Linked DNA regions of Oryctolagus cuniculus. The protein of the gene in region 1 interacts with the protein of each later gene in a biochemical or structural test. Links are inferred from orthologs where the notes say so. Each region holds a gene or a part of one and is shown in the gene's direction. Other genes may lie near its edges.

Region 1 (4,485 bases):
GATAGACCCACATTTGAAAGAGCCCAAGAAGGGGCCGGGGATCCCTCGACCTTTCCACACCTTTCCTTTCTTTCTTTTTTTTTTAAGATTTATTTATTTTACTTGAAAGTCAGAGTTACACAGACAGAGCAGGAGAGGCAGAGAGAGAGAGGTCTTCCATCCGCTGGTTCACTCCCCAATTGGCTGCAACGGCTAGAGCTGCACCAATCCAAAGCCAGGAGCCAGGAGCTTCTTCTGGGTCTCCCACGCGGGTGCAGGGGCCCAAGGCCTTGGGCCATCTTCTATTGCTTTCCCAGGCCATAGCAGAGAGCTGGATAGAAAGTGGAGCAGCCAGGTCTTGAACTGGCACCCATATGGTACGGCAGCACTGCAGGCAGCTGCTTTACCCACACCCTTTCTAACCTCACCTGATAACGTGCAATGCTTATCTTACTCAAAGCAGAAATGAGCAGATCAAGTTATCAAATGGGGAAGCTGAGTCCCAGACGGGAGCAACGAACCATTCATTCAAGCCCATGTGCTGGTTTGGGAGCCAAAAGATGTCTGAAAGCTCTAGGACTGTACCACTCAGAGACAGGGTCTGGGGGGAGGCGGGGACAAGGGGGCATCAACTGCAGGATGCAAGAGCAGAGCGATGCTTCCCCCCACGGTCTCCAGTGGACCCCACTGGCAGGGTGTTCGCCCCCTCACCCCGGGAAAAGCCCCCCACCACTGCGTTTCTTCTGTGGGCTGCTCAGGGCAGCACCGCTCTCTCACACCCTCATTCCCAGCCCCAGGCCAGCAGGGGTCTCAAGGGGAGCGGAGCATCCACAGCCCCTCACACAGACTAAGACACCACTGAGCAGTTTTCCACCTCACTGTCGCTGAACTTGAGAGCACGGACTACCCATAGAGATCATCTCCCCATCCCCCTAGTGCCACCCAATGTACAGATGGAAGATCAAGGCCGGGAACCAAGAAGTGGCCTTGCAGTGGTGTGTCCGTAGCAACTCAGTTCCAGGAAGCAAGACTCCACTTGAACCTTCCGGGGGTCCGGTTACTCACTCCTGGCCGGGCTGAGACTCTCTGAACGACTTTGGGGAGTGCAAATGCCACTAGTACTAGTTAGACCTGCTCTATCTGCAGTCTGTAGGAATCCACCTGGCTCATGGAACGCACCCAGTAAACTATGTATAAATGAAGGAACGTTTGGCGGCTAGGGAAGTGGCAAGGGGAGCCAGCCTGCAGCTTAAGGACCAGGGGACAGGGGCTTTCTCTTCAGATCCACGAAAGCCTAAAACTCTACCATGTTCATGCAGGGCTCATTTTGCGGTAGGCACTGAACTAGGCGCTGGGGGGATCAATGAAAAACAAGGCGGTCTTGCCCTGCCTTAGGTGGGTAGGGGCTGGGGTATTTAAGGGCCGGAGAAGCAGGCGGCTGCACACACTACACTTTCCCCAGCCTGCGCCGCGCTGAGATGGTCTCAGTGCCCGGAAGGCGGTGAGCACAGCGGGGCTGCAGCGCCGGCCGCCCACCGGTCACAGGCTGCGTGCAGGAGAGATTTCTGCTCTGAGGTCACAACCCCACCCCCAGATTCCCTGCCGACAAAACCCTGCAATTCTCTGACGCTGAAGACTCGGCTCGGATTCTTTTTCTGATTTTTCAAGGTCCCACGATGCCGACAGCCCCGAATCCTAAGCCGTCAGTCTGCCCACGCCCCCTGGAGCCAAAAGCAAGAAAGGAGGAATCTGCAAGGGTCCCCGCCACCCCTCTGACTCAAAAGCTCTCTGGGGGTAGTCAGCGCCCCCGCTCCTCCTCGTGGGGTCTGTGGGGGCGTAACTCAGATGCCGGGGACGTCGTGAGGAGAAGGGTGTCCCAGAGTCGGCGTTGACAGAGCCGGGACACGTGACAGCCAAAGCCTCCCGTTCTGCGGTCTCCGCGGCCGGGCAGGTCACGTGACGTGGAGCAGGGCGGGGGGGAGCTCATGGGGTGATGTGAGATGCGGGTCTCTGCGATTACGTACTCGTGACGCATTGCCACCCGCTTTTGGCTGCCAGATTTCCGTTCAAAGAGGCGACGGTTCCGGACTAGGGGGCGGGTTCTCACGTCCAGGCACTTTCGCTTCCGTTCGGGGCAGAGCCGCTTCCGAGCCCCGCCTTTCCCTCGGGCGAGGAAGAGACGCCACCTCGTGCGCATGCCCGGAATTGTCTCAGAGGGGCGGGGCTGAGGCTCAGGGAGCAGGAGGGGGGCAAGAGAAGGGAATTCCAACCTGTGGAACTTTGGGGGTCCCGGAGGTCGGCTGCTTGCCCTTGACTGTGGCTTGTGCATGGGGCTGAGCCTCCGGCGGCTCGTGGGGGCGTTGGGGCCCGCGGGGCGAGGCAGGGGAGTGTCGCAGTGTAAGTGGGGTACGGGAATTCCAAACTTAGAACCTTGAGGCCCTCGGGGCTCCGGCGCCGGGAGGAGGGAGCTCGGGCCGCCATGCGAGACAGGACCCACGAGCTGAGGCAGGTGAGATGTCGGGACAGCAGGGTCGGGGATGGACGGGCGGGCTGGAATGCAGGACTCCCAGGGTAGGGAGGGGTGGTTGGGGGCCAGGAAGGAAAGTCCCGGAAGCCTGTGGATCGTTCGGGAGCGAGAGCCGCCGCGAGGAAGTGGTGCCAGTGACTGTGGCCCTGGCAGGGGGATGACAGCTCGGACGAGGAGGACAAGGAGCGGGTCGCGCTGGTGGTGCACCCGGGCACGGCCCGGCTGGGAAGCCCGGACGATGAGTTCTTCCAGAAGGTAAGGGGGCTGGGGTCTGCAGCCTGGACGTGCGAGGGGGCGGGCGGACTGAGGGCCAGCGCGGGCTGGAGTGCCCCAAATTTCAGCCCCTCTCGGTCGCCCTCCCCAGGTCCGGACAATTCGGCAGACTATCGTCAAGCTGGAGAATAAAGTCCGGGAGCTGGAGAAGCAGCAGGTCACCATCCTGGCCACGCCCCTTCCCGAGGAGAGTGAGTGAAACCCCGGGTCGCAGGACGCATGCGCTACCCGAGGGATTGTGGGGGTTGTAGTTCCACGCAGGTGGTGGCCCCGGGGTGGTTTGCTGAGGCAGGGGCTCCCCCAGGAAGTTGTGGTCTTTTCTTGTTCAGGCATGAAACAGGACCTGCAGAACCTGCGCGACGAGATCAAACAGTTGGGAAGGGAGATCCGCACGCAGCTCAAGGGTGAGCTCCTAGGAAGGCGGGCAGATTCTTCCTCTGATCCTACTGATCTGATCCTGGGATAAGTGGAGAGTGTGTGGCCCAGAGAGGCAAGTGATATATGTAGGTCACACAGCAGGCCTGTGTTTAAAAAAATATATATCTGTCTGTTGGCTTCCACGCCGTGTTCCACAGCCCGTGCCTTTATTTACGATGAAACTGTTGAGTCCTGTAGTTCTTGGTGCCTGTCCAGCGTGCGTTCTTTGCAAAGGCAGATGGGGTTCTGCATACCTGTGGGAGCTCACTGATAGAATTCAAAGAGAAATAAACTTTCTCCTGTCAGAGGCTTAGCATGGGTCATTTTACAATGAAGCTGCGTTTCCCTTACAAATCACGTGGAGACAGGTCCCTCCTCATTGTGTGGCTGGGGGAGGGACCCTGTTCTTGTGCCCTGGTCCCCGGTTTCCAGAAATCACGAGTCAACACGCCCCTACCTCCTCCCTTCCTGCCTTGTGTCTTCCCGCAGCCATCGAGCCCCAGAAGGAAGAAGCTGATGAGAATTATAACTCGGTCAACACAAGGATGAGAAAGACTCAGGTGGGTTTGCTTCTCCTAGAACCAGGGCATTTTCCTAAGTGTTTGATCAATCGCGAGACGACAGATGTCTGTTGAAGGCAAGGCCCTTGGAGACCACAGGCCCCAACCCTTCTTCAAAGGGGCAAACAGGCGTGGAAGAAGATTCTCACTCAAGGTCAAGAACGCAGGTGTCCTAATTCCCAGTCCCTTGCACCCCCTGCTTTCTTCTCCTCTCCATGAGGAGCTGCTGTCCCCCAGGGTGTGACCCAGCCTTGGCTGTTTCCTCGGGAACCAAGATGGGAGCTTGAGTTGAGTAGGGGACAAAAGACATTACTCATGCAGGCGTTGGTGGCTAATGGCTCTTCAGGGAAGGAGTTGGAGAAGTCACAAGTGCCTGGTCAGTTTCCTGCCTATGTGACTGGGCCATCCTCGGCCTGCAGGCAGAATTGGAGAAGTCAGGAATAGGAAGTGCCCTGGGCGGGGACATCTTAGTAAGGAGTTTTCAGGTCATCTGACTGCTGTCCCTGGCGCCCAGCGAGGAGTGGTTTGGGGGTTCTCGGAGGTCAGGGTTGTTGTAGGTTGGGCCCAGAGCTCAAAAAGACCCCAGATGGAAAATGAAGATGGTTGAGGGGCAGCTGTTGGCCAGGAGAGCAGGTGTGTCTCTCAGGGAGGGTCTTGGAGGAATGAGCAGAGTGGAGCCCTCAGGAGAAGGAATAAGGTGGGACAGAGGCTCCAGATGGGGCATTGAAG
Region 2 (3,913 bases), on another chromosome or scaffold:
GAGAAACAAAGAGAGATATATCCTCACTCCCTAAATGTCTGCAGTAGCTCCAGGTTGGGACCAAAGCCAGGAGCCAGGAACTCAAGGTCTCATATAGGTGACAGTAACCCAGTCACTTCAGCCATCACCAACGCCTCTTAGGGTCTGTACTAGCAGTCAGGAGTGGGAGCCAGGAATCAAACCTAGGCTCTCTGATATGGGTTGCTAGTTTTCTTCACCAGCACCTTAACCACTGGACTCAACTCCTGGCTCTTTTTCAGTTTCAGTTTCACTTCTCTAGTTCAGAGGTCTAACACTTATGGAGTGATTTACATATATGTTTCCTCCTAATTCCTGCACACACAGTGGATGAGGTCCCTGAAATCTTGTCAGAAGTTAATATTTTGATTGAAAAAATATTAACTCGCTTTCTCACTTGAGAGAAACTCTTCAAGAAGGACAAGTACTTGAATATGTATCTGCACACCATGGTCTGTGCCCATTTCAGCTGTCATGAGTCCAATCTAGTGTTCTTTTTCCCTGAGCCCAGACACCTCCTCCAATCTGTCTGAACTCATCACTCCTAGAAACTGTTTGCCAGTATCTGATGGGGATCTGGCATCCCCATTTCTGTCTGTGTGTATGATGGTTCTTCATTTGATGAGCTCTTTGATGTTGAGCTCCTTTTCCTTCCACAATCCCCTGAAGTGTTGATTTGCACACTCACTTATTTGCACACTCACTTATCGCATTCTTGAAAACAAACTAGATTGACATCTTCAGAAAAGAAAAAAAACTTCCAAAACATAAAGAATTCTATATATGTGATATCTATCTATCCATCTATCTCTGCACTTGAGGGTTTTCCAAAAGAGCTTTATTTATTCAGCAAAAATTCTCTAGCACTACACTCTCATTTCCTCCAAGTATCCAATACTGAGTAAACACTGACATTTTGTTTTCCCAGTCATTTGAAAAGCATTGCAGAGGCAACAGATTCCTGATAAGCTGATTTGTATTCTTCAGTCCCACAAAAGATAACACAACAGGCTCTTGTTTTCTAAATGCACGGTCCCCTTAGCTTCGGTTACTATCTAAGTTTTTGGAATGACAATTGCTACTGTACAGCTTAACATGAAATTGTTTTTAAGTGATGTTTTTGTTCCCTTAGGCTGGAAATGTGCTTATCAGTTTAATTCTAGGTATGCCTTTATTCTTGGAGGCATAAGCATACATGTATTCATGACAATATAGATGAAAAGAAAAATGGAAATGTAATTAGGTTTTGTAATTAGACAACCAAGACATCTCATTGCTACTCTCCTTTAATGGTCTTAAAAGCTGTTTTTAAAATTCCTTCATTGAACTTGTAGTTATCTCAATTTGATGACACAGCTTTTGAAAAATTAATCAGGTTGGAGTATATAACCCTAGCAACCCAGAAGTATGATTCGTCCTTATGATTATCGATCTATTTCTTAGATACACTAAGGTCAATTTTGCCAGCAGTAATGACACAGAATTGTTCTGTTTTCCAATCCATCACCTCCCATCCCCAAAGAGACATCGTCCTCCCTGCTCTTTGCCTGGGATTGGCAATTAGCATGCCCCCTCATTGTAGAGACTGGAAAATCAGAGAGCAGAGAAGTGAAATGCTTTCATAACAAGTGAGTTGTAGGATGGGAGAGGAACTGAAATGCTTCAGTACTTATAATGCCACTGTACTGATGTAACTTTTTTCACAGCTTCTATGAAGTAAATATGCAAACCAAGAATAGACCGTGGGCTACCTATGACCAGATAGCCACTGATAGGAGAACATGATCCATACCCATTGCCAATTATTGCTGCTACTGCTGCTGCTGCTGTTTTCCTCAAGGAAGAAAACGGATTCCATTTTCTAGCTTTATCTGTTGAGGATGCTTAAAAACAGAAAAGTGCACATATCTAAAAGGAAGCAGGTGCTATCTCAAGTGACATTAAATCAGAGTACCTAAAACATAAGCTAACATCCTGTTTTACTTTCTCCGGGGTTTCGCTGGTGTCTGAGTAAGTGATGATGCTGGGCTGTGTCCCTGGACACTCAGAATCAAACAGACCTTCAAACTCATCTCATCATGTTGGAATTTCAAACTATTTTGAGTATCATTTTGTTCATTTCCTTCCACTCATGTCTGCTCAGGGTGAGCGGCAGCAGTCTACCACAATGCATCTTCTTGAAACAATGCATTGTAATCTCTCTTTCTCTCTCAAATTCCGTTTCACATAGTCATTTCTCATGTTCTGTTGGAAACCCCAAAAAAATTCATTCCACACTGTCATCCCTTTGTCCTAACCAGAACAACTCGATCGTGTTGAAGAAGGCATGAACCATATCAACCAAGACATGAAGGAGGCCGAGAAAAATTTAAAAGATTTAGGGAAATGCTGTGGCCTTTTCATATGTCCTTGTAACAAGTAGGTACTGGGTACCAGCTCTAATCTGTGGCGTCCAGTTTTCTTTCTTTCTTTCTTTTTTTTTTCTTTTTAATGTCAAAGTGAATGTCTGAAGTTTTGTCTTTTTTTTCTTTGTCCTTTTCCATCTGCTTCATTCTGTGGGGATAAAATACTTGTGTTTAATCAGAACAACTGGAACGCATTGAGGAAGGGATGGACCAAATCAATAAGGACATGAAAGAAGCAGAAAAGAATTTGACGGACCTAGGAAAATTCTGCGGGCTTTGTGTGTGTCCCTGTAACAAGTAGGTGCTGCCTGCCTGCCTGAAGCTTTGGTTTCCCAAGGCCCATCTCCAAGCCTTGACAAGCTCATTCCTGCCAGGCTCATGGGCAGGATGAGCATGTGGCATGCAGAACAGATCAATACCGTCTCCAATGCATTCATCTCATAGCATAGATAATATTAGTGGGAGTTACTGTTGATGCATTAAAAATCAGGCATACTACAGTGAAAGCTTCACTGTCAGCAACTTTTATTGATTAACGTTTCAACATTTTCCAGAAAGTGTACCTTAAGACAGAGAAAAGCCTCAAGAAAGAGGCACCCAGGGAACTATATTTTTCCCAACCCCAAGAGCCAAAACTGCGGATTTAGAAAAGTTGGTAAGTGAGTATGTTTGGAAGATTAGAAACACATGTATCAAGATTTATTTTTTCAGAAGGAAAAGAGAGATAATTTGGCCCAAGCCAGCATTCTTTAAAAGAGAATGACAGAGATTCCCCTATTTCTCCTGCCCACCATTGCCAAATTTAGTCATGAGATGCTGCAACTGCACCCGATGCAGAGGCAATGAGCACTTTGGCAAAAAGGGCTCAAGCTTTACCCAAATTGGACCCATCCCTCTGAAATTCTTCCCCTTGGAAGATCTAACAGTACACTGGCTGAAATGTTGAAATGTGTAGATTTTGCATGCACGACATCACAAAACATTCAACTGTTCTCAAGGTTCTGCAACGCTTATTTTGGAATGTAGCAGAAATGTGACATGTGGTTATAGAGGTTTGCAAGAGAAGGAACCTGAAACTGAGGGTTCTAGAAGATAGTCTCACATGACTGGTAGCAAAAAACAAAATGCATGAGTGGATTGTCCAACATGCATTTGGAAAATTAAATTTGTTACCCGATCTCCCTCACCCCTCCCTCTTCCCCTTTCTAAAAGAAGCCTTTTTTCCTAAAAGCTCTCCTGGTCCTACCTTTATAGAATAGAAATTGATGTCCTTTTTAGTGGATTATATGACCATTCGCATCCTTTAAACTTTGAGGCTGATTTAAAATATCCCACTTCCTGTTTAGGAGGGGGAGGGGCTCAATTTGCAAATAAATAGAAAATTTGTTTTTAAAAGAATGATCTACAGTAAATCCTGACTAACTGGAATCTAGTTAATGGGATCCTTGACTGCGCTTTTGCTTCCTTCCACGTTTAACAAAAGCAAAGAA

What was found.
Region 2: the proteins of STX4 (region 1) and SNAP25 form a complex in vitro, tested with the Homo sapiens proteins (3 studies listed by BioGRID). The link is inferred for Oryctolagus cuniculus from reciprocal best matches to the Homo sapiens genes STX4 and SNAP25.

What each region holds. Positions count from the first base shown.
Region 1 is NC_091450.1:6,132,300-6,136,784, reverse strand, and holds the start of STX4 (syntaxin-4), read left to right. Parts: upstream 1-1,595; 5' UTR 1,596-2,458; coding exon 2,459-2,488; intron 2,489-2,659; coding exon 2,660-2,761; intron 2,762-2,870; coding exon 2,871-2,970; intron 2,971-3,108; coding exon 3,109-3,183; intron 3,184-3,685; coding exon 3,686-3,756; intron 3,757-4,485. UniProt on the Homo sapiens protein: Plasma membrane t-SNARE that mediates docking of transport vesicles. Necessary for the translocation of SLC2A4 from intracellular vesicles to the plasma membrane.
Region 2 is NC_091442.1:35,230,401-35,234,313, forward strand, and holds part of SNAP25 (synaptosomal-associated protein 25), read left to right. Parts: intron 1-2,318; coding exon 2,319-2,436; intron 2,437-2,602; coding exon of another isoform or gene 2,603-2,720; intron 2,721-3,913.